Linked DNA regions of Lytechinus pictus. The protein of the gene in region 1 purifies or fractionates together with the protein of each later gene. This does not show direct contact. Links are inferred from orthologs where the notes say so. Each region holds a gene or a part of one and is shown in the gene's direction. Other genes may lie near its edges.

Region 1 (7,278 bases):
ATAGGTACCTGACAATCAAATTTTGCGAGCAGCAGCGCGAGCAGAAAATGTTGATATTCATACCATACAATGACATTTTTATAGAGCTTTAAAAAAATGTAAATCAAACAAAATAATGAAAGTTCAATTTCCGAGCTGAAATATGTTTTGTACATTGACTCGATATTTAAAGCTCCATATTGAGCAAGATATTAATGATAATTAATGCAAGAGAGAAAAGTTTATATAGTGACATAAGATATATGTATTTTATTTTCCAAGTCTTATTTTATTTACTCGTCTTCATCCTCTTCCTTTTTTTTCCCATTCTTGTCCCTCTTTTTTTCTTTATTTCCCCCTTTTTTTAAATATTTTTTTGCTCCATAATAAGGGGGGGGGGTAGGGGCCCCTCGGCCCCCTGGATCCGCCTATGACTTAAAAAAGTGGGTAAATTTCCATAAAACCACATTAACCAATATTTATATATATTTATATGGTTTATATTGAGTGACTGTTCAACGTTGCTCCTATTATTTTATATATTTTGGCTATAAACACCCTAATGAAAAGAAAGAAAGACAGACAGACAGACAGAAAAAAGGAAACCACCCGCAAACACCAAAGCAGGGACGTCGTCACACAAGGGGGGGGGGGGGGAAGTCATGGCCCTGGGAAGCGGGTGTGCTGGTGGTGAAGCACTCTTGGGGGTGCTGGGTGTGCTATCTTCCATGAGCAGCACCCTTGGAAATCCGATAGGCATAACCTTATAATGGCAGAAATGTAATAAAAATGCATTTTGTAGGAAAGCCACCCCTTTTAATTTCTTTCTTTCTTTCTTTTTTTGCTTGTCACATTTCTCTGGACCGAAACCACCCACATTTCGTAATGAAAACCCTGTGTGTTTTCTTTTGCTTGTCAAATTCACTTCAGCACCCCCACTAAAAATCGTCCCCAGGGCCCTGTGGCAAGTGGCGGTGAACACTCCATATGATTGTCAAAAATGGTAGATGGGTTAATGGGGAAAATAGTTTCTCGGTAAACTTTAAAAAATAATAAAAAACAACAAGTGCACAACAGCATTTCCATTTCTTTGAATGCAGGATAAAAGAGAAAATGTCGATTCTATAGGGCCTTGTAGTGTTGCGGCTTGCGCCCTCTTGAGGCAGAAACAATATCATGCCCATATCACCGAAACGACCGAAACCATAATCCCTATAATAATAATAGACCTTGAACAGTTGAGAAGATAGTAACTCTTGATAGAGTCAGGGGCGGATCCAGCTTTCGCCAATATAGGGAGAGGGGGGGGGGCGAAATTTTTGTTCACCCATATTTTCCCCGATCGGCCGCTCAAAGTTGATTGTTTTGTTTTGGTATAATGACTTAAAAACTTGACATTTTAAGCTCCATATCAGTCTATTGAGCAAGATATGTATCTAATCGAACATATAATGCGAGCGCGAAGCGCGAGCGAAAATTTCATATAATGATATGAAAGATTTTTTTTCCATGTCTTTCCCTCACTTGTCTTCATGGTCTTCCTCTTCTTTTTTTCCTCCCCTCTTTTTCTTTCATTTTCTTTCTTCCCCTCTCTTTTCCCTTTTTCTTTTTTCTTTGCTCCGCCAATAGGGGGGGGGGGGCGGGCCCCTCGGGCCTCCTGGATCCGCCTATGTATCACAGTAACAAAATATATAAAACGCTGGTTACTATATGAACCTTACAGTAATTGTTTAAACAGTTTTAACAAGTGTTTAAATCTTAAGCAACAAAATTTAATTTTCAATATCTAATTTTCAATAAATTAAAATGTTTAAACGGTTAAACAGATACTGTAAGGTTCATGTAGCAAACAGCGTTGTATGAAATCTTAAACAGTGTTTTACTGTGAGTGTCAACTACCATGACAACAGTGAAAATTCTGCTTCGTGATTCTAATGAAATCTGACATTCCAGCAAGAATTGCTATCTTATCAAATTTTATGAAATGGTCTCAGACGAGTTAAGGACAACTCCACCCCAACTAAAAGTTGAGTTAAATAAAAATAGAAGAATCCAACAAGCATAACACTGAAAATTTCAGCAAAATCGGATGTAAATAAGGAAATTATGACATTTGAAATTTCGACTAATTTCACAAAACAAACCTACTTGCCGTTTTGGATGCAAATGAGGAGACTGATAACATCACTCTCTCATCGTATTTCTTTTGTATGTAATGAGGCCTATATGAATTATGAATATTTTAATTATTTCATTATATAGCATTTCATTATGACTCAGTTAAGTTGGTCCTTAATGGAAAATTGGTGAAAATTGAAATATCATATAATTCAAACAATAAAAAAACTAAAGAAATAGTGATTGATGGAGTACACGGGATGGACATCATCGACTCTCTCATTTTGCATGTCCCTGAGTTCTGCATGATTATGACTGTTTTGTGAAAAATAAGCAAAATTTTAAAATGTAATAATTCCCTTTTTTATATCCGATGTTGATGAAATTTTCAGCGTTATGCTTGTTTTTTTCTCTATTGAATCAACGTTTTTCTGGGGTTTTTAGGCGTAATAGACCATAGTTTCCTTATTGGGAAGCCAGTAATTCAGTAAAACAGAACGTATTAATTTATTAAACAGATAGTAGGCCTATCGTCAATGCTATGAGAGATCCTTACTGGTAGTCCTCATGCTTAAGTTTGTTGTATTGAAATTGTGTATAACATGGAAAAAGTATAGTTTTCACCATATATTTTTTTCTAATGAATATTATCCTCTATTAATTGTTTATTATCATTACTTTTATTAGATCCATTTCACTCTAAACCGAAAAAAAGCTATTTTTTGTAAATTTAGGTAATATCACATTTTAACTCTATACAAATAATGGTTTAAAAGTACTAATTTTGGGGAAAAACAAATTGCCTCCCCCCTTAAACATATACGAATAGACACAAAAAGCAGTTCAGAAAAAGACCACCAAATAAAGAAGTTGTGGCCAAAACGTCTGTGACTTTTTTTTTTTTGGGGGGGGGGGGGGGGCGTGGATTGGCGGCCATTTTGGATTTTGACCGGCACCTTTTTCTTTTGGACCCGAGACAAAAAAAATATTGCCATCATGTGTTGAGATACATAACAACGAATAAAAAAAATATTAAGATTACAAAAAAGGGTAGTTTTGACGCATACATGTATAGCCCCCCCCCACTTCTTATTTCATTAATGAATTTCATTCTAAAATGTATGACAAAACTGAATAATAACCCTCACATAAAAAAAATATGACGGGTGTAATACATGATCTCCATCCAGGGAAAATGCAGGGCCCTGGGAACGATTTTGGGGTGGGGGTGCTGGAGCAATTTTTGACGAGTAAAAAAAAAAGGGGTGGGGGAGCTATAGGTTAAAAAAAAAAAAATTGGCATTTTTAGTACATTTCTCAAAATTTGCAGACCTAACGAAATTCGAAAGGGGTGCTGCCTATGACACGCAGCATCCCCGCTTCCCAGGGCCAGTAATCTTCCTTGGCTGCGCCCGGGGGGGGGGGGGGGGGTCATTGATTGTGGCACAGCTAGAAACAGATAGAAACACATTGAAAACAGAGACGAAACAAAGAGGCATTAAAAGAATGATTAATAAAATAAATACAGCTAAAAATTTAAATTCATGAATTTTCAATCCATATTTTTGTTTGATTGTTTTTTTAAATGCCTTTTTGGTGGGTGACGCATAAACTTTCCCTATATCCGTTATTATCACGTCTCCAGTACACACTTTCATATTGCTCACAGCCAACAAGCTATACCTTGTTTTTCTTCTTTTGGTTCAATCTTTTCGGATGCCTTAATTGGTAGTCATGATGGTACATATAGAGATATATTATAGTATCATCATGGAGGTCGAAAGATGGTATCATAGAGATACTCCACAGTATATATTACTAGTATCTCAATGATTATATAGTTGGCGACAATAGTCAAATATGACTAATCGCCACTCAAACCAACATAAGAAGAAGATGTGATGGTATAGTCTCATAAAACAGATACTTTTAAGTGCATTATTTCAAATACTTTATATTCTGGCAAATTGTAATACCATGAAAGTGTAACATAATACTTAATAACAATAAATAATAACATAAAATATAACTTGATCATTTTCTACCCGAAAAGTGAGATATTTCCCAAGTAATAATTGGTGTGATTATTAGTGAAAACAAAAACGACTGCACTGTATATCATCGCATCTTCACCACCTAGGCTTGCGCTTCGGTCAAAGGTCAAATATTTCCCTGACGATATGGACGCGGTGAAGTTATTTTTGTGAAATGTTCGATATATCGGTACCATTAAACACTTTGAGACACTGTTGTTGAGGTAAGATATACCCTAAATGTATATATTTTTTCAAAGTCTACCAGCCTCTTTTTCACAGCGTATGTTTCTACTAAAGTGTAAGGGATTTGAATATGGAATTGAGCTGCAATGCAAAGCCAAAGCAGCTGCACTAGTTGCAGCGAGCGCAGCGCCAGTGGCAGTGCCGCTCCGGTAGGGGCAGCCGCCGGCCGGGCGGGTAACCAAATAAGCTGCCGCTCCGAGCTCCGCCGGTAAGCGGCGACGGAGGAGCTCTATGTCTTGCCTTCTTGGACCCGTTCCTGCACTGCAGACACCGACTTTAGACTTACCGTGTTTTCCGGAATATAAACCGCACCTTTTTTAGTCGGGGAATCATCTATGGGGGTTGCGGTTTATACACGAACACAGACTGACAGAGTCTCTCAGACTAGTCAGACTCAGAAACTTGTCTTGATATCATATTGATAAGATAGAATTAGAACTTGATTGAGTTGATGAAATACTCAAAATCAAATAGATCTAACGTTTTACTAGATCTAACTATTGTTCGACTAAATACAATGAATGTGCGACATGTTTGAAACATGGACTTGTTAAAAGAATGAAATAAAACTCACTTTTAGTTTTACACCATCCCATCTCTGTCTTTCTCTTGTCAATGTCATCATTTAATGATTTGTTGTGGACGTGACTAGCACTAGCTAGCACTGTCACTTGTCAGTAGAGGCGCATGGCCAATATGGGAGACTCTCTCCAATATGGAAGACAATCTCCCATATTGGAGACTTGCTTTGCAAAAGAACAAAAGAAACAACACCAACAAAAGCAGATTTTTTTTCCACCCAAAATTTTGCCTCACTGAGGTCAGAAGCCCATTTGTTTTGTGTGTGGATGACAACAAAAATCCTTATCAAAACAAAAGTAGATGGTGAATTTTCAAAGTAGACGTTGAAAAGGGGTAATTTTTCATGAGGAATCTGCTCATCACATTTTTATTTGCTGCCAAGCTAATCCTTTTGCAGCAAATGTAAGCAAAGGAAATTGGTCTCCCAAACTGGAGACTCTCTGAAATTGGATACCCAAATTTACAAAAGTCTCTAATATTGGAAATAATCTCTCTCATGGGAGACAGTCTCCCATATTGGCCGTGTTCGGTGAGCGCTCCTCTCTGGCGGCTCTGCAGCGCCTGCTGGCACGGCTGGCCGCAGCTAGCGGCGTACAGGGAGACTGAAGCTTCGCGCAGTTAGAATTAGGCCTAGAATCTAGGTCTATTTTTAAAAAAGACAAAAAAAAAAATTATTTTGAGTTTTTTTACAATGTTAGTTTTTCATTATCAATCACTCACTGTCCACTGACTCAAGTCAAGACAGTCAAGCTCAGTGAGACAGATGAAACCATGCTCATGCAGTGTTTCAATTGACTGAGTCAAGGTCAAAAAATGGATCACTTCGTCTTCGTACATGCATTCCATTGACATGTGCAGGGGTCTGCTTCATTAAAAGAGATTCATAAAATGTTTTTGCTGTCATGTGCTCAATGGCCAGTAAATGTCAAGGATTCCGTGGATGTTACAATTAAAATCACTGACTAGACAGCAAAGTTAACTTCAATTGTAACTTCCATGCAATACTAAATAGGGCCTTGGTTGGCTTCAAAATGAAAGACGTTTGGCCAGACAGTACTGTTAGTCTTTTCTTGTCTTTCTGTTAATGCCTGCAATCATTGTTTTGATTATTACTTTACTTTAAGTCCATGATGCTGTAGGCTTGAGTTGAGTGCCTGTTCATCGATCGTAGTATCTCCTCTGGTGGTAGTACAGTATCCATGGTATTAAAACAAAATATATAGATATACCGATACTTAACACGAGTATCTCCTCTGGTGGTAGTACAGTATCCATGGTATTAAAACAAAATATATAGATATACCAGTACTTAACACGAGAAAGGACTGTCAGAAGTGTGTACATGTATGCTAACAAACGTGGAATAGCATATGAATGTAAAGATTGACTTTACCTGAATTTTGCTGGCTAAGTATTATAAAGGCTCTGTCAAAATTCTGTGAAATGATTAGATGTGACAGAACTGTCAAGAGTCAACACTACAGTTTTCCTCCGTTCTAACTTGTGCTACTTAATCCGTATTCTCTAATTCGGACTAATTTTTCTGTTCAATAATTTTTTTTCTTCAAATTGTCACTCCTGACCCTTGCATTTTATTTGCGTGTGTCAGGTAAAATTTGTTTACGCACATGTAAGATAGATAATGAATATTGGTGGCACATATATTATGAAACTATGCAGTATGCCTAGCAATTGAGTCTGGGAACTCTTGTTGGAATGCTCCCCAAGGAGCGGAGAAGGTGCATACATTGTATGCGGGCATGCAAGGATGCGATGACCGGGGTAATAATATATCTGTAAAGCGCTTAGAAACATCGTTCCGATGTGTTAAAAGCTATATAAATGCAGAATATTATTATTTAACTATCAATTATATCTCTTTCTGTTGCAGCATCCTACTCTGGGAGAAGAGCAATGTCATAGGAATCCACTGTGTCGTCCATTATCATCAACAGACATTTTTTTCATATGAAGTGGCATCACAACAGCTTGTAAGCTGAAAGATACCCAGTTGTATGATCTTCATACAATTTTTTGAAATTTTTTTCTTTACAATTACCATCAAATTTTAACTGAAAGTTTGATTCTGAGAGGTTACACTGAACAGCCTCTATAAGCAATTTTTGGACACTGGGGATACTGGTGTAAGAAGTCAGTGTCCATACAAGAACCCAGGGATATAGTATCCCAAGAGACTCTTAATCAAGATGGGGGAAGAGAAAGGAAGAGATGACAGCAGTGAGATCGGGCCAGGCCAGATGTATCAGCATTACATCATCATGGAAGACCTACTTGATAAACTAAAGGTACGTGTAATACT
Region 2 (6,854 bases), about 21 Mb from region 1:
GCAATACAGGGGTCTGCAAATCTCTCTCCTGGTCGCCTCCAGACTCTCGAACGTCCATCATTGTGGTCAAGGGAAAATCTGCTCTCATCTGTGAACAGAACTCTACGCCATTGCTGTCTGGTCCATCTGACATGCTCCCGGGCCCAGTTGAGACGAATTCTTCTGTGAGCAGGGGTGAGTGGGACACACTGAGCTGGCCGTCTGGCATGCATTTTGGCTCTGTGAAGTCGGTTACGGATTGTTTGAGTGGAAACAATCACTCCAGTTGCTGCAGCGAAGTCATTGTTGAGGCGGCGTGCACTGTGAAAGCGGTTGCGGAGGCTGAGATTCGTCAAGTAGCGATCATCTCTAGGAGGCTGGAGCCAACGCCGGAGACGGAGTTCAGTGGAACAACCAACATAACACTAACAGAGACCAAAGCTTTTGGTCTACTTTGAATGAAACAGTCTGTTAAGTTTAGTTTACTCCAACGATGTTGTAGGACTAACGCACTCGCACGTATTGCGAGGTTAGTATACTATACTTAGTCCGGGTTATAATTGAGCAAGGTGCCACTTGGAGAAGGAGAAATTTTCATATAATGCTTCTAGACCAGTTTTTTACGCTGAATATGAATATATGAGGTAAACAGGCTGTATCCTGAAAATTAACCTGTGAGGGCGCTTTTTTCAAAATGGCCGCCAGATTTTCATAAAATTTGAATATTCGTACATAGATTTTTACATAAGCATCCAATTGCCATGAAGTTAGTGTCATATGAAAGCCAATTAAATTTCCTACAATTTGGTACTATTTATAGGGGATAAGTAGGTCATTTAGCCGAGATTTTAAGTAGAAAACTGCATTTTTTGTATTTTTTCCCAAAAATTGAAAATTTTGCAAATACATGATTTTACATAATTCTAAGAAAAATGAATCAATTACCTTGAAATGTTCCTGAAGACTTTTAAAATATATTATTATCACGTGGATGAAATTTCAACTTTGTATCATTTTTCTAAGCAAATTTGTAAGGTATCAAACTTGAATTCTGCAATATCATAAATGTTGCTTTTTGTATGCATTTCCATAGACTAATACGTATAACATGTATAATGCATGTATGTATAATGTTTACCGGTAGTTAAAAATTAAATGCAATTATCTCCGCTTGTACCACGTGGAGAATTAAGAGTAGGCTTTTCTGTATCAGCTACATAAAAAAAAATGTTGGCACATCAAGGCCTGACCCTCTCATGGGGGTGGGGGTGTCGAAGTCACCCCTTTGCTATATCATGTTGTTGTATATTGCCTATTTGTTAAAAAAATTACATATTTTTTGAGCACCCATGGAGGCAAAAACAGGCATTTCTGCTATACAGTACAGCCACTTTGATTGCTTTGAAACCACTTGGAGAGGAAAGAATAGGCTTGTTCTACCAGCTATACATCTAAAGAAGTAGCACATCGAAGCCTACCCCTCTCGGGGTGGGGGGGGGGGGGGGGAACTTTTGCTTAATATTGCCAATTTATTTGAAAATTTACAATTTTGGACCCAACATTCAGGCCAAAAAGCGTTTGTGCTTTGTTGTACACCCCGTTTTATTGATTTGAAACCACTTAGAGAGGAAAGAGTAGAATAAGGTAGAGTTTATCAGCTACATATATATAAGCGCTGGCACGTCGAACCCTAGCCCTCTCAGGGGCTGTCTAAGTCAACCCCCTCCCCCCGCCCTCTATATCATGTATATTGCCTATTTTATTGGATATTTCACCATTTTGGATCACCCATTGAGGCAAAAGCGCGTTTCTACTATATAGTACAGCCAATTTTATTTTCTTGCAATGACTTGGAGAAGAAAGAGTATTATAATAGACTTTGCTCTATCAGCTATAAAGAAGTGTTGGCAAATCGAAGCCTCTCCCCTTCAGAATGTTCAGCGGGCTGTAGAATTTACCTTACCAATTTTCGGTATTTGACTATCTATTAGACATTCACAATTTTGGATCACCTATTAAAGCAAAAGGGCGTTTCTACTATAGAGTACAGCAAATTCTATTTACTTGCAATGACTTGGAGAGGAAAGAGTAGGCTTTGCCTTATTAGCTCCATATAAAGAAGTGTTGGCAAATCGAAGCCTATCTCCTTCAGGCTGTAAAAGTTACCTCACTAATTTTCGGTATTTGGCTACTTGTTGAAAATTCACTATTGTTGAGCCCCCATTAAAGCAAAAAGGCGTCTCTGATATATAGTTCTGCCACTTTTATTGCCTTTAAACCGCTTAGAGAGGAATGAATAGGCTTTGCTCTATCAGCTATAGAGATGTGTTGGCAAATAAAAGCTTACCCCCTTCTGGGGGCTGTCAAAGTCACCCCCTCTCCCCTTTGCATTATTGCCTATTTATTGGAAAATTCACAATTTTTGAGCCCCCATTGAGGTAAAAAAGAATCTCTGATACATGTATGTAGTTCTGCCACTTTTACTGCCTTGAAAGAGTAGGTGGACAGAATATGCTTTGCTCTATCAGCTACATATAAAGAAGTGTTGGCACATTGAAGCTTACCCATCTGGGCGGCTGTCAAACCATTCCACCCCTTTTGCATTATTGCCTAATTATTTGAAAATTCACAATTTTGAGCCCCCATTGAGGTAGTATGCACTTCTGCTGTATAAAAAAAACCGATTTCATTTTCTTGAAACCATTTGGAGAGCAAAGAGTAGGTTCTCCTCTTTTAGCTATATATGTCGAATTGCTGCCGTATCGACGCCTGACCCACTTCAGGGACTATACATGTAGCTGTAACCCCACCTTTTTTACGATTTTTGCCAATTCATTGAAAAACTCGCAATTTTCGAGCCCCCATTGAGGCAAAAAGGTGTTTCTGGTATATAGTAGAGCCACTTCTTTATATAGCTGATAGAGGAAAGTCTACTCTTTCAAGGTGGTAATAGTGGCAGAACTATATATCAGAACCGCCTTTTTGTCTCAATGGGGGCACCAAAATGGTGAATTTTCAATAAATAAGCAATAATGAAAAGGGGGTGGGGTGATTTCAACAGTCCTCTGATGGGGATATGCTTTATACGTAGCTTTTAAAGCAAAGCCTTTATTCTTTTCCCTCCAAGTGGTTTCAAGGGTGAAAAAATGCAGAACTATATATCAGAAATACCCTTTTGCCTCAATGGGGGCTCCAAAATGGTGAATTTCAAGAGGGGGGGGGGTAATTTCGACAGTCCCCTGAAGGGAGTAGGCTTTTACATGTATTTGCCAGCACATATTTGTATGTAGCTGATAGAGCAAAGCCTATTGCCATGATTGTTTCCTCTCCAAGTGGTTTCAAGGTAGTAAAAAAGGCAGAGTTGTAATCATAAATGACTTTTTGCCTCAATGGGGGTTTCAAAACGGTGAATTTTTTTCAATAAATAGGCAATAATTCAAAAGGGATGGGGTGATTTCAACAGCCTCCCGGAGGGGGTAGGCTTTTATTTGCCAGCACTTCTTTATCTTCTTTATATGTGGCTGATAACGCAAAACCTATTCTTTCCTCCCTAAGTGGTTTCAAGGCAGTAAAGGTGGAAGAACTATATATCAGAACCGCCTTTTTGCCTCAATGGGGGCTCCAAAATGGTGAATTTCAAGAGGGGGGGGGGGGTAATTTCGACAGTCCCCTGAAGGGAGTAGGCTCTTATTTGCCAGCAAATCTTTGTCTGTGGATGATAGAGCAAAGCCTATTGCCATGATTGTTTCCTCTCCAAGTGGTTTCAAGGTAGTAAAAAAGGCAGAGTTCTAATCAGAAATGACTTTTTGCCTCAATGGGGGTTTCAAAACGGTGATTTTTTTTTCAATAAATATGCAATAATGCAAAAGGGATGGGGTGATTTCAACTGCATCCCGGAGGGGGTAGGCTTTTATTTGCCAGCACTTGTTAATATATAGCTGATAGAGCAAAGTCTACTCTTTCCTATCCAAGTCATTGCAAGAAATTAAAATTGGCTGTACCATACAGTGCGTATAAAAAAACGGGACAGATTTGAAAAGTCTATAAAAATTTTGTTTCAAATAATGATGTCTATATTTTGGTGTTAATAGATGCGCTAAGGTCTTATCTTTGAAATGCAATTAAAAAAGATAAATTTTGTTCATGCTTGAGCGAACGCAGGACGTTTTTGTTGGGGGTTCAAAAAGAGGCTTGCGCCAGAATTGCAGAATATTAATAATATGATGATCAGATGATCAGACTTCTTGCTAATCGGGAGACTTCCTCTTGTCCTTTTCATTATCTGTGCCACAATTTTCGAATTATGCTGTCAAATTTCATTTACAAATTTATTCATTTAATTGATATTTTGTTTTTTTCATTTAAACTTCTCTTACCTTTTAATTTTCCTTCATAAGTAACTGAGAAAAGAAGATTTTTTGTCAACCCAAGCAAGAAGATTTGAATTATTAATTGGGAAAACTTGTGATTATTCAAATCCTTTTATTATGTGAAACAAACTATGTTATGTACCTTTAAAAGACATGAATCTTTTTTTCAAGGGGTCATTAATTCCTTGACCAAGTTTATTTGCTTGACAGTAAACACAGGAAGCGATTCATGTCTTTCAATGACATGAATCCCTTGTATGTATTGAGTCAATTTTGAAGGAGCTAGATATGGAAGATCGGGTAAAATGTATTAAAAAGTTGTGAGCGAGCGAAGTGAGCACGCAAATATTCCCACTTTTTTATTACAATATCAAATTTTTTGATAGATTTTGACAAAATATTTAGAAAATAACACATTTTACTTTCTATCTTTCCTTTTATTTCCTGTCCACTCTTTTTCTTGGTCATGATTTTTTTTGAGGGGGGGGGGGGACATCCCGAGCGCCCGCCCATCTGTGTGGCACTGTTCAAAAGGCACCATAACCTTTGTAGCACTCAATGAAAGGATTTGAATAAAAAAATCCATGCTCTCCCATAATTCGATTGAAACAAAATTGTTTTAGCTTGAAGAAGGAATATTCAAAGCTAACAGAGAGCATATTAAAAAGAAACAACAGAATAATTCAAGCAAATAAATAGATCTGAAAATGAATTTTGACCGCATGATTTGAAAATCATGGCAAAGATAGTGAAAAGGTTAAGAGGAAGTCTGCTAATTAGCAAGAAGTCCGATCATCATATTTATAATTTTATGCCATTTTGGTGCAAGCCTCCTTTTAAACCCCAGACAAAAACATTCCGTGTTCGCTCAAGCATGAACGAAACTAAATTTTTTTAATAGCATTTGAAAGATAAGACCTTAGAGCACCTATTAACACCAAAATATAGACATCATAATTTGAAACAAACATTTTATAGACTTTTCAAATCTGTCCCGTTTTTTTCTATACGCACTGTATAGTAGAAATGCCCTTTTGCCTTATTGGTGATTTAAAATGGTGTAATTTTCAATAAATAGGCAATATACATGATATAGAGGAGGGGGGGGGGTGACTTTGACAGCACCTGAGAGGGCTAGGGTTCGATGTGAGTGCGCTTATTTATGTAGCTGGTAGAACGAACTCTACTCTTTCAAATCAATAAAATGGGGTGTATTATAATGCACAAACGCTTTTTTTGCCTCAATGTTGGGTCCAAAATGGTGAATTTCCAAATGAATTAGCAATTAGCAAGAGGGGGAGGGGTGACCTCCATACCCCCCCCCTCCCCACCGAGAGAGGTAGGCTTCGATGTTCTACTTCTTTTGATGTAGCTGGGAGAACAAAGCCTACTCTTTTCCTCTCCAAGTGGTTTTAAAGTAATTAAAGTGGTTGTACTGTATAAAAAGAATTGCCTTTTGCCTCAATGGGTGCTTCAGAAAATAGTGATTTTCCAATAAATACAACAACATGATATGGCCACGGGGTGGGGGGGGGGGGACTTCGACACCCCCACCCCATGAGAATGTGTTAGGCTTCGATGTGCCAACACTTTCTTCTATGTAGCTGATAGAGAAAAGCCTACATTAACTAGCGGAGATAATTGCATTTAAGTTTTAACTATACATTATACATACATGTATTATACATGTTATACGTATTAGTCTATGGAAATGCATACAAAAAGCAACATTTCTGATATTGAAGAATTCAAGTTTGATACCTTATAAATTTGCTTAGAAAAATGATACAGAGTTTAAATTTCATCCATGTGATAATAATATAGTACAGTTTTCAGGAACATTTCAAGGTAATTAATTCATTTTTCTTAGAATTATGTAAAATCATGTATTTGCAAACTTTTCAATTTTTGGGAAAAAATACAAAAAATGAAGTTTTCTACTTGAAATCTCGGTTAAATGACCTGCTTATCCCCTATAAATAGTATCAAATTGAAGGAAATTTAATTGGCTTTCATATGACACTAACTTCATGGCAATTGGATGCTTATGTCAAAATCTATGTACGAATATTCAAATTTTATGAAAATTTGGCGGCCATTTTGAAAAAAGCGCCCTCACGGGTTAATTTTCAGGATACAGCCTGTTTACCTCATATATTCATATTCAGCGTAAAAAACTGGTCTAGAAGCATTATATGAAAATTTCTCCTTCTCCAAGTGGCACCTTGCTCAATTATAACCCGGACTAACTAACCTCGCAATATGTGCGAGTGCTACGAACGTGTCTACGCAATCAGTGCCGTACCTAGGATTTTCCACAGGGGGGGCAAAACCGTCCGCCAAAAAATTTGACAAGCAAAAAAAAAAAAATAAATAAGGTCCTCAATCACAGACAAAGGATTTCGTACCAGAAAAAAAATAAAATAAAAAAGTCAATCACAAATAAAGGATTTCGTACCAGAAAAAAATTGACAAAAAAAAAGGTCTTCAAGCTCGTCAGGGGGG
Region 3 (7,894 bases), on another chromosome or scaffold:
CTGCAAAGTAAAGTATTTTGAAATTGTAGACAATTTTTTTTTAATGGTCCATGAAATAATTCATTTTTTTAGCTTCATGACATAACGCATCGGTTCTGCAGTTAAAGTGAAGAAGATGAGAAAAATCAGCTCATACCCGCAGCTAATCAATCACCTGTTCATCTATTGTGACGTCAGCGCGCAGAGTGTAAACTATGCGCAGACCATAATGCGCACAAACATAACTGTGGAACGTCCTTAATTGGTTTTAATCTATTTGGATTTTGACATTAAATTTTTCCGAAGTTACAATAGGTTTCACTTTTCAATCCACGACCGTGGTAATTAGTGACGAATGTGACAAATGAAGGATTTCTTAACTGGGAAGAAAGGGGACGAGGAAGTCACAACAAGCCTAATTCAAGTTAGCACAAAATGACATAATCATCTACAAAAGAAATCTAGCTGATATCAGTTTTGGGGGGAGGCAATCCAGGGGTGCCCCAATTAACCTGTCACTGGGAAGTAAGCATAATTCCCTTGCTAACATAATGTATGCCTTCCGATTTTTTTTTTTGCTTTATTTTGTGATTAGTTGAATGCAAACGATATAATTGGTCAGGAAAGATACAAATTTATGAGAATCACAGTTTGAAGGTTATTTGTATGTTTGTCTAGCTTTCATAAACATTTAATGAGCAATGAAAATTTCGCAAAATTATCATAATTGATAATTTGGAGCGTTGTGGCCCAGTGGATTAGTCTTCAGACTTTGAAACAGAGGGTCGTGGGTTCGAATCCCAGCCATGGCGTAATTTCCTTCGGCAAGAAACTGATCCACAATGTGCTGCACTCAACCCAGGTGAGGTAAATGGGTACCGGTAGGAAGTAATTCCTTAAAAAGCTGTGTGCGCTATGAACGCCTAGCTTAGCCGGGTAATAATATAGGAGCGCCTTGAGCACCTAACAAGGTGGATATGTGCGCAATATAAATACCCTATATTATTATTATTATTATAATTATTTCCATCCGTTCATGTCTTTACTGTATATTGTTAATTCTGCCCCCATTGGCCAGCCATTGAGTCAGAGGGCTGGGGACAAAGTCCTCTGGATCATGGGATCACCACAGAGAGGAGCAAGCCGTATACCTCTTACGATTTTTTAAAAATAATTTAAGAAGGAAAAATGATAAAACTGAGATAAATTTTTAGTTAGAAAAAAGTGCAGAAATAGGACGATAGGATTAAAAGGGAATCGGATAGGAAGGAGGAAGATGAATCAAAATAGGGGGCGTGGCAGGGGTGCACATCATGTTTTTTTTTTTTTTATCAAACTCGTTGAACTGTACCCCTATTTTACATCTGCCAAAAAAATATGTCTAGGCTTATTATGTCGCCTAAATACCATGGCCTTTCCCAATATGACCATGGCTGTTGCTTAAAGGGATGATCCGGGCTGAAAATGTTTATATCTAAATAAATATAGTAAAATTCACAAAGCAAAATGCTGAAAATTTCATCAAAATCGGATAACAAAAATAATAACAAAGTTATTGAATTCTAAAGTTTATCAATATTTGTGAAAACAGTTATATGCACATCGACATGAATATTCATTAGGTGGGCTGATGATGTCACATCCCCACTTTCCTTTTTTCTGTTTTTATCACATGAACTCATAAATGTTTTTTTTTTTTTTTCATACATGTGTAAATGATGTGGATCAGTTATGATGAAATACACTGTATATTGCAGCAATAAATAACTAATGAACTAAATCAGTTGTAAATCCAATTGTTTTAGTTCTTGGTAGATAAATGTTGAATAAACCTGATTTCATGTAATAAAATACAAAAGAACAAATGGAGATATGACATCATCAGCTCACCTAATGAATTTTCAAAAAGACATGCCTAGAACTATGTTTCACCGGAATAATGCAAATCTTTAAAATTAAAAAAACTTCGTTATTTGTTATGCGATTTCGATCAAATTTTCAGCATTTTGCTTTTTGAATTTTAGTCTATTCATTTAGATATAATTATCTCCAGCCTGGACCATCCCTTTAAAATAATAGGCTATCTTCGCCCAAGGTTTTCAATCGGATGTGTTTACAACACTGCCCAAGGTTCTGACTCTGCAGTCTAAATTTCATGTCAATTTTCCAGGTCATTCAACATTTCGCCGGTCTAAACTGAACAATATCATCAAAACGCCATGAGAAGGGACGTTTTGAATACGGAGCGAGCGATGGAACCCGCAAAATGTTATTGATCGATTCAGGACATTGATATGAGGTTTACCATACAAATGTAATTTTCTTAAAGATGTGTTTATTATTTTCTCTCATAATCCAACACATGTTCATATACGAATCACCCAACAAAATCAAACAAATTATTTTTGCCACTGGCTTTACGCAAAACAAAATGAGTCATGCATTAAAAGGTAGCAAAGAATGCTGATGACTAAAAAAAACCTTCGTGCAGTGTCTTGATTGCCAGATATTTTGTCACGTACTCGATTTATTGTATATTTGCTTTGTTGATTTGGAAAAGTTGCAGAAATCATAAATGAAATTATGAAAATGAAATATTGCAGTCATCCAAAGCTGCCGTCCATGATAAATTATTTTCATTATATTGAAATTATCAACACTGCAACACCACATACTTTTTAAGCCCCCCCCCCCACAACACCACAAATCACAACAATAAACAAATAACCGTCTCCTCTTTTTTTTTTACTCTAGAATATTCCAAATGCGTTCTTATACAACTATTAAAGGGTTACAAGCATAACTTCGAATCCCCCAGCCTCCCATATTTAGATGGTCAATCTAATTTATGTTTGTTTCAGCTTCTTAATTAGATCTCCCTTTGGGTTCGAGGAACCACTTACTCCCCTATGCATGAGCATTTGGCAGGGATCAGAGCTAACAGAATCATTTTCTCTCTAACGGGTATTTGGAAGGAAAGCCAGTAAAATTACCCCCTAAATACATTATGTTTGTGGAAGACTTTAAACTTTCCTCGTTAACTTTTTATCTGTAAAGAAAAAAATCAAAGAGACCACCCTTTCAATGAATCTTTAGGATTTTCCCTTCGAAATAATGAGCGTGCGTGACGAGGTCCAGATTACTTAATAATATTATCAAAATGATATATAATCAATCAGTGGCGTACCTAGGATTTTCCAAAGGGGGTCAAATTTCGTTCGCCAAAAAAATTGACAAGCAAAAAAAAAAAAAAAGGTCTTTAAGTTCAAAGGAGGGGGCCACTTGTGGCTCGTCAGGGATCAGTTTTGACTCGTCAGGGGGGACAGGGATACGTCCTTTGCATGAGTTGTGACTCGTCAGGGGGGGGGGGCAGTCTGCCCCCTTAGGTATACGCTAGTGTAATCAATAGTTATTTCCGTTGTGTATTTTTATCATAAAATATACATCTACGGTATGTCTTTCACATACTTAGTACTGTTGTTAATTATGATCATGAAAAAAATATAAAGAGTAGAGCTTATCCATTGTTTCCCCAAATTAAATTTTACGTTAGGTAGGCCTACATGTATATCTGGCATAATTGAGCGAAATAAGGCCAGTGACGATATTCCCCCAATCAAATTTTACGTTAGGTAGGCCTATGTATATCTGACATAAAAATTATTGAGCGAAATAAGGCCAGTGACGATATTCGGCCCCCAATTCAATTTTACGTTAGGTAGGCCTACATGTATGTCTGGCATAATAAATTGAGCGAAATAAGGCCAGTGACGATATTAATATCTATTATATATCTTTAACACAAGTCAACCCTTTTGGCAATAAAAATTGTTATTTTCAGCATAATGAGATAGTAAATTAAGGACGTTCCACAGTTATGTTTGTGCGCATTATGATCTGCGCATAGTTTACACCATAGACAAATAAATACGGTTTACACTCTGCGCGCTGACGTCACAATGGATGAACAGGTGATTAATTAGCTGCGGGTATGTGCTGATTTTTCTCATCTTCTGCACTTTAACTGCAGATCCGATGCGTTATTTCATGAAGCTAAAAATTGGAATTATTCCATGGACCATTCAAAAAAAGATTCTCTACAATTTCAAAATACTTTACTCTGCAGTGCTGCCAAGAATCACGAATATTACCCCGAGTTTGAATAAATGGTAGAGTGGCTTTGATTTTTTCTTCACATAGATACTAAGCATTCGGCGCATTTTTGGTGTTTTAAAAAGCACATTTGCTCTAATAAAAATACTGATAGTTTAAAAACAAGCACATATGAACCCCTATTTTTTAATGTTTGTTCCTCTTAGGTAAACCGTCCTCTACAACTCTACAAATTTTGGTGAAAATGACATGGATTTTGAATAAAGTGCAGCATTTATTGTACTTTTGTAGTTTGTTACTGAAATTTCACATTTTTTAGATTGGGATTTTGTTATCTTTTACGCCATTTTTAAGAACTGACAGTGCTGTTAAACTTAAAATTGCAAACAAATAGCATTATAAATATATTCTCCATTCTAACGATACAATTATTAACTCTCTTGCGAAATTTGATGACTTTTTCATGTATTTTGACTGAGTAATAGAGGTTTAAACTCATTGTAGTAATCTTAGGGCGGTCTAAAAATGCCAAATTCTTTTGGATGCGCAATTCTTAAGAACATCAATTTGGGTGAACTTTGAAGTTCTATAGCAAAAAATCAAGCACATGGACCTATGTTAATTTTTGCATATTTCGAATATTAAGGTTCTAAAGTATCTATGTGCAAAGTTTGGTGAAAATGATATGGATTTCACTTTAACTGTACTGTGGAACGTCCTTAAACAAACTATTTTCAGCAGCCATCGAATCTGCATCTATCTTACAAGGACGCCCTCTACGTACAAATTACAGAGTAGCATTTTTCTGCAGCTATATAGCTAGCAGTCGACTTTATCAATTAATTTAAGTAATAATAGTTAGCGGTGCTCGTTGTTGTGAATTCCGGTACTAAGTAGCCGGACCATTAAGGAGCGCAGTCTGAATTACTTCTGGTATCAAGATGAAAGCAAAGATACTGATGATTGGGCCAACAGAGGTATGAATTGCTGGTTATTTGGCAGTCAGGCGCGTACGAGTACCGGCGCGGCGGTACCGGTACCATTAACGGAGCTGCGCACCCGCTCTGCAGGGTCAGCTCCGGGTACCGTCTCCGTAGCTACCGTTCATTTGCGGCCTCTTGCCTGAGGCTGAGAAGTGGGATGAAGAGGCAGTGACAATTCTTTATTCATGGAATTAGGCAGTGGGCGTAGGCTTTGTAGGTACTTTTTAGGCTTAGATATAGGCTAGGTTAGACAATGGTGATGTACCGGTACTTGCGCCAATAATGACATGATGTAGCTGGCAGCCGTCTGTTTCGAGGAGTTTCTTATTTTTAACATAGGCCCTATTAATTTTTTTTTAATTTCTCGTACACAGACGTCTCGCGATCGTGCAGCTGCCATTACTCATTAGGGGGTTAACAATGCAAAATCCTCCTGACGGGGCTCATTGATTTTTGTCTTTGTGGTCTTTATTTCATAAACAGAACGCCATGGGTTAATAATAATAAGGGCACAACTATAATGTAAAACTAAAAGAAATAAATAAACTAGACAACTTTGAGGTTACGTGTAACTGTCTTTAACCCTTTCCACGCGTACTTCGCACCAATGCACACTCAGTGCCGTGCGAACTTCGCATTTCACACTCAACAAACAATGCATTGTTTCCCTCCCTGAAAATAATTCAGTACAGATGCGCACAAAGAGTTAATAACCGTGGCCAAGAGACCAACACAAGGTGGTGCGCTTACAACTTAGCGCATGTAACATTGAATCATCATTATAATTGTAAAACAACATACTGGCGGAACTGTACCAAAATAAAGATTTTTATTCCTTTTTTGCCTGAAATGCACCAAAACGGGAAAATAAACTGAAAAGGAAAAAAACAGTGACTTTCATGCTTACATATATTTTTCTATAATGAATATTAACATACTTAAGGCACAGGAAATACTACCGGTATTTCTTTACATGATGAATGCGTAGCTTTACGACTCCTAATGTACATCAGGCGGCAGCTGCAGCAAAATAAAGATGTGTTTTGAAAACACAGCAGGACTTTTTGTAAGTGAGTTTGTGGTATTTTCTTCTTGCTTAAGGATCTTTAGAATATTTACCACAAATTAGTGACAGATCATTTGTTCAAATATTAAAATTGGCATAATTAGGTCCCCCATCATACATCCAATGTTGAAATTAAAAATATTGTCTTAAAGAAAAATAAAATATTGAGGAATGAAATATTCCTGTAGAATGAAGAATTATTTAATGAGACTAATTTAATTGACTAATATATACTGTCTTTGGAGCGTTGTGGCCCAGTGGATTAGTCTTCTGACTTTGAAACAGGGGGACGTTGGTTCAAATCCCAGCCATGGCGTAGTTTCCTTCAGCAAAAAATTTATCCACATTGTGCTGCACTCAACCCAGGTAAGTTGAATGGGTACCAGGCAGGACTAATTCCTTGAATGCACCGAGTGCTGAAAGGCAGCTCGCGCTAAAGCCGGGGAAATAATAATAAAAAATGCGCCTCGGAATAGATTATTTCTAGATAGATGGCACTATATAAATGCCTATTATTATTATGATGCAACATTGACATCGAACAAAAGTTGAGAGTGTAACGTGCAAGCGCCATTTGAATTCAATAAATGGACAAAATGTAACTCATCATACCTCAGCACACCTCATTGGCTTAGTGAGATGAGAGTGCTATAAAGCAGCATTTCTCATTGGATACTAGTATTTCTTCAAAAATTGTTGCATGTTTCCAAGATAAAATTAAGATTTATGGTTCTCAGAATACCAATTCAAGGGGATTTTAAGGATATTTTGTCTCACTGATTTTAACAGGAATAAAATATTTTATTTTTATTAAAGATAAAGTAGATCTCAGAAATGAGAATACCACACCTGGTCCTATCATGGGATCTGGATTGTGTAACATTTGTATTTGGCTCCAGTGTGTCTTGAAGATTGATGTTAAGGGAATAGATTTAGACTGGCAAATTAGAAACAATTATTTGCATGATAATCAGATATTGTAGTGGCAATATTTGCCTCCCCTGACAAAGTTATAAAAGTAAAAGGGTAAGATATAATGTGATAGAAATAATGAATTGGGAAATGGAGGGGGCAGGGAAATTGTAAGAGAAAACAAGGGAGAAAAAAAGATACCCCAAAAGAAGAGAAAAAGAACAGAAAAAAAATTGTGGAGTGATAAAAAGTCTTTGAAAAAGTCTCCTCCATCCAAAATATGAGAATGACAATTCAGAACTAAGCTCTGCTAGAAGGGAGAGCATGGCAATGGTAATCCGCCAATGTAATGCCTAAAGGCAAGGATGAGAAAAATAAAAGGAGGAAGAAAAGGGAAGAAGGGGAAGGGAAGAATTTCAATTAGCAAAATTTTAGGTCAATGTATCAAAATTAAATTTATGCTTGTGCTTTTAGCTTGCATTCCATTTTTTAATGAGTACTTTTCATGAGGGGATCACAGTGAATGTCTTGTTTTCAAGTATAAAAAGTATTTTAGCTCACGCTTTCATTAGTTTGCTATACTTGTATGCATCATGTTTATGATTACAAAATAGCGCGTGAAATGTCCCATATTCTGGTCCAAATTATGAAACTAAAATCAGCCAGATGTGCTTTATTCACATTATTTCTTCAATGTATGTAATCATGTGTACGATTTTCTATAAATAGTCTTAAACTCTCTCCAGGTTGGCCTATTTCTTTTGTGGCATGTAACATATTTTTCAAAAAGATCTTAAAATGTTTTGTTGTCAGAGTAGCAATTTGCATTTCAGCTTGCTCT
Region 4 (6,926 bases), on another chromosome or scaffold:
GATGTCAATCACTCACTATTTCGTTTGTTTTTTACTGTTTGAATTATACAATATTTCATTTTCTATACATTTGACAATAAGGACCAACTTGACTGAACCATATAGTATTAAACAAAGCTAATTCCACATGTTCAGGGAGGAATTAATCGTTGTATCACTTGACATTGAGGAGAAAATTAGAATATTTCATATTTCCTATAATAAAATACAAAAGAAATAGTGAGAGGATGACGTCATCAGTCTCCTCAGGTGCATACAGACCAGGATGTGCATATAACTGTTTTTTTTAATTAAGCAAAACTTAAAAATGTCATAACTTTCTTATTTTACATCCGATTTTGATGAAATTTTCAGTGTTATGCTTGTTGATTTTTTCTCTTTTTATTCAAATCAACTTTTTGTTGGGGTGGACTTGTCCTTTAATGTAATTGTTGTAAAACAGTACTAAATTACTCCATAACAGTATCTCTTGTGAAAAAAATATTTGATTTGTATTAGGTCTACTCTGTGATTGTGTAGTTATACCTTGTTTCAATAAGTTCATTACAAGTTGAACATTTAACTACATCACACCAATGACAAAAGGGGTAGAAGCATAGTTTTGCAACCTTTACTTAAAAGTTCAGCTCTTTCAAGAAAAAGCTAATCTTCACCATACAAAATGTGAATATGGATTGTTTAACAACTATATACAAGATTATGTTCTGCCTTCTTGAAATGGTTGCAGGAGGCTTATTCCAGCTTGTGTGGCTAATTTTATCTCCCGACAGTTTATTCTTTTTTTAAAACCTCCATTGAAACTTGCCTCACCTCCTTTTAAATTGGCTTCACCATAATTTGTAGTACAGTTTATTATTTTTTAAAAACCTCCATTGAAACTTGCCTCGCCTCCTTTTAAATTTGTAGTACAGTTTATTCTTTTTAAAAACCTCCATTGAAACTTGCCTCACCTCCTTTCAAATTTGTAGTACAGTTTATTCTTTTAAAAAACCTCAATTGAAACTTGCCTCACCTCCTTTTAAATTGGCTTCACCATAATACAGTTTATTTTTTAAAACCTCCATTGAAACTTGCCTCACCTCCTTTTAAATTGGCTTCACCGTAATACAGTTTATTCTTTTTAAAAACCTCCATTGAGGCTTGCCTCACCTCCTTTTAAATTGGCTTCACCATAATTTGTAGTACAGTTAATTCTTTTTTTAAAACCTCCATTGAAACTTGCCTCACCTCCTTTTAAATTGGCTTCACCATAATACAGTTTATTTTTTAAAACCTCCATTGAAACTTGCCTCACCTCCTTTTAAATTGGCTTCACCATAATACAGTTTATTCTTTTTAAAAACCTCCATTGAGGCTTGCCTCACCTCCTTTTAAATTGGCTTCACCATAATTTGTAGTACAGTTAATTCTTTTTTTTAAACCTCCATTGAGGCTTGCCTCACCTCCTTTTAAATTGGCTTCACCATAATTTGTAGTACAGTTTATTCTTTTTAAAAACCTCCATTGAAACTTGCCTCACCTCCTTTCAAATTTGTAGTACAGTTTATTCTTTTTAAAAACCTCAATTGAAACTTGCCTCACCTCCTTTCAAATTTAGTACAGTTTATTCTTTTAAAAAATCTCCATTAAAACTTGCCTCACCTCCTTTTAAATTGGCTTCACCATAATTTGTAGTAGTTTATTCTTTTTAAAAACGGACTTGCCTCGCCTCCTTTTAAATTGCCTTCACCATAACTTGTAATACAGTTTATTCTTTTTAAAAACCTCCATTGAAACTTGCCTCACCTCCTTTTAAATCGGCTTCACCATAATTTGTAGTACAGTTTATTCTTTTTTTAAACCCTCCATTGAAACTTGCCTCACCTCCTTTTGAATTGGCTTCACCATAATTTATAGTACAGTTTATTCTTTTTTATAAACCTCCATTGAAACTTGCCTCACCTCCTTTTAAATTTGTAGTACAGTTTATTTTTTTTAAAACCTCCATTGAAACTTGCCTCACCTCCTTTTAAATTGGCTTCACCATAATACAGTTTATTCTTTTCAAAAACCTCCATTGAGGCTTGCCTCGATCACCTCCTTTTAAATTGGCTTCACCATAACTTGTAATACATGTATTCTTTTTAAAAACCTCCATTGAAACTTGCCTCACCTCCTTTCAAATTTGTAGTACAGTTTATTCTTTAAAAAAACCTCAATTGAAACTTGCCTCACCTTCTTTTAAATTGGCTTCACCATAATACAGTTTATTTTTTTAAACCTCCATTGAAACTAGCCTCACCTCCTTTTGAATTGGCTTCACCATAATTTGTAGTACAGTTTATTCTTTTTTAAAAACCTCCATTGAAACTTGCCTCACCTCCTTTTAAATTGGCTTCACCATAATTTGTAGTACAGTTTATTCTTTTTGTAAAACCTCCATTGAAACTTGCCTCACCTCCTTTTGAATTGGCTTCACCATAATTTGTAGTACAGTTTATTCTTTTTTAAAAACCTCAATTGAAACTTGCCTCGCCAGCTCCTTTTAAATTTGTAGTACAGTTTATTCTTTTTTAAAAACTTCCATTGAAACTTGCCTCACCTCCTTTTAAACTGGCTTCACCATAATACAGTTTATTCTTTTTAAAAACCTCCATTGAAACTTGCCTCACCTCCTTTTAAATTGGCTTCACCATATATACAGTTTATTCGTTTTAAAAACCTCCATTGAAACTTGCCTCACCTCCTTTTAAATTGGCTTCACCATAATACAGTTTATTCTTTTTAAAAACCTCCATTGAAACTTGCCTCACCTCCTTTTAAATTGGCTTCACCATAATACAGTTTATTCGTTTTAAAAACCTCCATTGAAACTTGCCTCACCTCCTTTTAAATTGGCTTCACCATATACAGTTTATTCTTTTTAAAAACCTCCATTGAAACTTGCCTCACATCCTTTTAAATTGGCTTCACCATAATACTGTTTATTCTTTTTAAAAACCTCCATTAAAACTTGCCTCACCTCCTTTTAAATTGGCTTCACCATAATTTGTAGTACAGTTTATTCTTTTTAAAAACCTCCATTAAAACTTGCCTCACCTCCTTTTAAATTGGCTTCACCATAATACAGTTTATTCTTTTTTAAAACCTCCATTGAAACTTGTCTCACCTCCTTTTAAATTGGCTTCACCATAATATTCAGGTAAGGTATATTCATTCTTTTTTTTAAAAACATCATTGTTCACTTAAGCTTCCCTCACCTAGATCAATTTGCTATATATAATACCTTTTATTCTACACTATTCTTCCCTTTAAAAAAACCTGATTGTACTCCTGCCTCCCCTGATCTGACATTTGCCTCTCAACGTACTGGAAATAGATACCCTTTGTTCAATATTTTTGTGTTTTTGACACCCTTATCACGTTACGTACGTAACGTGCCCTCTCTTGAAAAAGACATCCTTTTTACGTGTTTTTTTGGTCGTGCATGGTATCCACTCGTCAATATAAGTGGCCCCCCGGGCCTACTGTACAGTGTTATTTTATTATCTCTTTATATCGGAAACTTCGTTTTACCGAATTGCCATGCACTCTCTCCGACGCGTTTGAAGTCTTATACCCTTTTTACACACGCTAAAATTTCCTTAACCCCGTACTATAGGTGGGGCTAAATTGCCATTTAGCCCCACCTATAGTACGGGGTTAAGCTTAGCCCACTTTCTTTTTACACAGCATTTTTGCAAAGTGGGCTAACCCCACCTTTAGTACGGGACTATTTGGCCCTGCAAAAAAGCAGGGTTATCCCAGCAATTGCGGTGCTAAGAGCGATAGTACGGGGTTAAGATCGCTAGTGTAAAACGAAAGTGGGCTAAGCTTAACCCCGTACTATAGGTGGGGCTAAATGGCAATTTGGCCCCACCTATAGTACGGGGTTAAGGAAATTGTAGCGTGTGTAAAAAGGTACGAGTGAAGTACTTGTACTACGAATGGTCGACAAAAACCACTAGTCCGGGGTTAGCGAGTTTCGTGTGTGAAAAGCAAGCATTCCTTATCCGGGGTTAGCAATAACAATTTGGCATGTGTAAAAAGGAAAAAAAATAGTACGGGGTTAAGGATAGTACGGGGTTAGCGATAGTCCGGGGCTAAGAAAATCCTGTGTAAAAAGGGTATTAGACAGCATGGCATACTACCAGCCGATGGTACACACACACGTTATTTGACAACTTGTCTCTGGAGCCAAAGTTCCTCGCATATAACTATCTGCATGCCTGCACGCAGTGTGTATTGAACACGCACGACCACGATCTAATGAATATTCATCGGCGAGACTGACGTCATTTTACGAGTCTCCTTTCAAACTTGGATCATAAGTGCCTACCATTTACTAGTCGCAGTTACCATGGCTGACGAAGCTCTTGCAAATGCTGGTTTGCACTTTGATGACTTAAACAAAATACGAGTATTGGAACCTGAAATTCAAAGCCAGACGACAGAATTGAAAGAAGAATGTAAAGATTTTGTGGACAGTGAGTAAATTTAATTTAATCAATCGAAGTATCGAATGGAACCACTCAGGCTCAGCTCGACGCCCGTGACCAGTAGAGGCGCTGGTCAGAAAATTGGGATCGTCCCCGTTTACAGGGACTGTCTCAGTTTATAAGGATTTCTCCACACAAGAAATCTAGGAAAGTTCATTCACCTGTTGAGTGCCGACACCAATCAAGAGTGCTAGTCAATGTAAACATATCGGGTTTCATAACAAGATTATTGGAAGACGGCAAGTCATAATAAATAAACGGTGAAGTGGGGGGAATTGAGGTCACTGAATCTATTTTTAGCACTCTCAATTCCCCTAATTGCTGCCTTTGTCCCGTAGGGAGAAGTGAAGAAAAAACGTCCCCATAAACAAGGACAGTCTCAATTTATCAAGACATAATTTGTCTTGGTTTATAAGGATATCCTTGTTTTCTGGGACAATCCCAATTTTTGGACCAGCGCCTCTACTGGTGACTTAGCTCTGTGGTGCCTGCCCCTGCTCCGGCGCCGCCGCGGCGCTCCGGGACCGGGCGCCTGCACCTGCTGCGTGTGTGCGCGGTATATAGCCAAACCTTTAAGTTTTAACGTTACTTATTTTACTATTTTAGTCAATTTAGAGCTCATTCATGCATGTCAGGGGTAGACAGCCGAAATCGAAGTAAGCCACTGCTTTTTTCCCCCTTGTTTAAATTAAGCTTATTTCTTTGACTAAGTTTAGACTAGGCCTAGAGGCTAAAACGGAATAGGGCCTAATTAACTTTACCGGGAAGTGGAACTAGGCTAGTTCTTTTTATGTAATTATTCAATTTAGAATAAAGTGAAAAATCAAAGAATACAAAGATCCCTGTCAGTTGGGGTTTTGCATTGCAAATTCCCTAATGGCGGGTGCACGTTCGTGAGCCATCTGTGTATGAGGAGAAATAAAAAAAATTAAAAATGTTTAAAAACTTCTTGAAGCAGACGGCTGTCGAATGTTAGTCATGCTAATTAGATTCTACCAATCAAAATTCACTGGCAGTTTATTCAAGTCAAGAGAATGTCAGATCCTGGGCGCGCATTTCACGAAACAGGCATTTTAGACGCAATGACTGACTTTTCTTGGCACATGCACAAAATAAAGAAAGAAAATAGAGAAAGAGAGTAAGTACTAACTATAGAACAAGCAAAATAAATAAAGAAAGAAAGAAAGAGAGAATAAAAAGAAAGGACGAAAAAGTAAAAAAGAAGACATAAAAGGTTCAGAAAGCAAAAATAAAATGAAAGAAGGAAAGAGCAAACAAATGAACAGAAAAAAAAGAAAGACCCCCAAAAGGAAAAAAAAAAATGGAAGAAATGAATAACAGAAAGAAAACAAAGAAAAAAATTAAAAAGATCAAGGGAAGGAAGAAAATGAAGACAGAAAAAAAGAAAGAAGAAAGGAATACCAAAAATGATGACCAAAGAATGAAAGAAAGAGAGAGAAAGAATAGAAAAAAGGAAAAAGGTAAAAAAAATGAATGAAAAAGAAAGAAGGAAAAAAAAAGAAATAAAGAAAGAAAGATAGAAAAGGGAAACCAAGAAGCAAAAATAAAAACGAAAGAAAGAACGAAAAGGGAAAATACATGTATTTCATTATTGTCATATTGTATGATAGTAATTATTTACAACTAAAATGTAACCTCAGACAGTCAACAGTGTCCCTCTTTCACTATTTTGTTTTCAATTGTTTGAATTGTACAATATTTGTATTTTTACAGATTTGACATTAATGTCCAACTTGACTGAACCATAAAGTGTTAAACCAATGGTAATTCCACATGTTCAGGGAGGAATAAAACTTTGTTTTACATGACAGTGATGAGAAAATTAGAATGTTTCATAATAGAGATTATTATCTAAATAGAGCATTTTAGCCATACATTATAAACGCTTATTTTGGTCTGCATCAATTGCCTGTGCAGTATCAGAGCGTATCTCTAACAGTGACCAAAATCCGATGAATATCCCATAGGCTCGTGTACAAAATTTGCCATTGAGTATAAGACCATCAACAGTCTAGTGCGCATGCGCGAATGCGTAAAATATACAACGCGTACAACAATGAAAGTAATGCGATGCACAGCATAGATCACAATTACGCTCAATGAGGTCATAATGAACTACATATAAGTCACATGTCAATGACCCTAAAGTGATGATGTGATAAGTGATATGACTTTTTTTTTAATGTGTTATGCTTGTTTTATTTTTCTCTTATTCAAATCAACTATATATTTTTTTTTTTTGGGGGGGGGCAGTTTAAACTCTAATGCCTCAAAGTGTTGTATATCTAAAGCATTTCATGCCAATTTTGTGTTGGCTTCAGGGTTACAATTAAGTTATTCACATATATCTCATCCTAAATTTGATTTTTTTTTTAATATATGCTCACA

What was found.
Region 2: the proteins of intraflagellar transport protein 57 homolog (region 1) and intraflagellar transport protein 46 homolog purify together in Homo sapiens (affinity purification with mass spectrometry; 3 studies listed by BioGRID and IntAct, counting the BioPlex papers as one, with this or other methods). This does not show direct contact. The link is inferred for Lytechinus pictus from reciprocal best matches to the Homo sapiens genes IFT57 and IFT46.
Region 3: the proteins of intraflagellar transport protein 57 homolog (region 1) and intraflagellar transport protein 22 homolog purify together in Homo sapiens (affinity purification with mass spectrometry; 3 studies listed by BioGRID and IntAct, counting the BioPlex papers as one, with this or other methods). This does not show direct contact. The link is inferred for Lytechinus pictus from reciprocal best matches to the Homo sapiens genes IFT57 and IFT22.
Region 4: the proteins of intraflagellar transport protein 57 homolog (region 1) and intraflagellar transport protein 20 homolog purify together in Homo sapiens (affinity purification with mass spectrometry; 3 studies listed by BioGRID and IntAct, counting the BioPlex papers as one, with this or other methods). This does not show direct contact. The link is inferred for Lytechinus pictus from reciprocal best matches to the Homo sapiens genes IFT57 and IFT20.

What each region holds. Positions count from the first base shown.
Region 1 is NC_087252.1:13,083,930-13,091,207, reverse strand, and holds the start of intraflagellar transport protein 57 homolog, read left to right. Parts: upstream 1-4,252; 5' UTR 4,253-4,354; intron 4,355-6,849; 5' UTR 6,850-7,165; coding exon 7,166-7,264; intron 7,265-7,278. UniProt on the Homo sapiens protein: Required for the formation of cilia. Plays an indirect role in sonic hedgehog signaling, cilia being required for all activity of the hedgehog pathway.
Region 2 is NC_087252.1:34,530,747-34,537,600, reverse strand, and holds the start of intraflagellar transport protein 46 homolog, read left to right. Parts: upstream 1-3,839; coding exon 3,840-3,881; intron 3,882-6,854. UniProt on the Homo sapiens protein: Forms part of a complex involved in intraflagellar transport (IFT), the bi-directional movement of particles required for the assembly, maintenance and functioning of primary cilia. May play a role in chondrocyte maturation and skeletogenesis.
Region 3 is NC_087246.1:23,441,023-23,448,916, forward strand, and holds the start of intraflagellar transport protein 22 homolog, read left to right. Parts: upstream 1-4,869; 5' UTR 4,870-5,033; coding exon 5,034-5,069; intron 5,070-7,894. UniProt on the Homo sapiens protein: Small GTPase-like component of the intraflagellar transport (IFT) complex B.
Region 4 is NC_087246.1:4,617,690-4,624,615, reverse strand, and holds the start of intraflagellar transport protein 20 homolog, read left to right. Parts: upstream 1-3,922; 5' UTR 3,923-4,378; coding exon 4,379-4,505; intron 4,506-6,926. UniProt on the Homo sapiens protein: Part of intraflagellar transport (IFT) particles involved in ciliary process assembly. May play a role in the trafficking of ciliary membrane proteins from the Golgi complex to the cilium.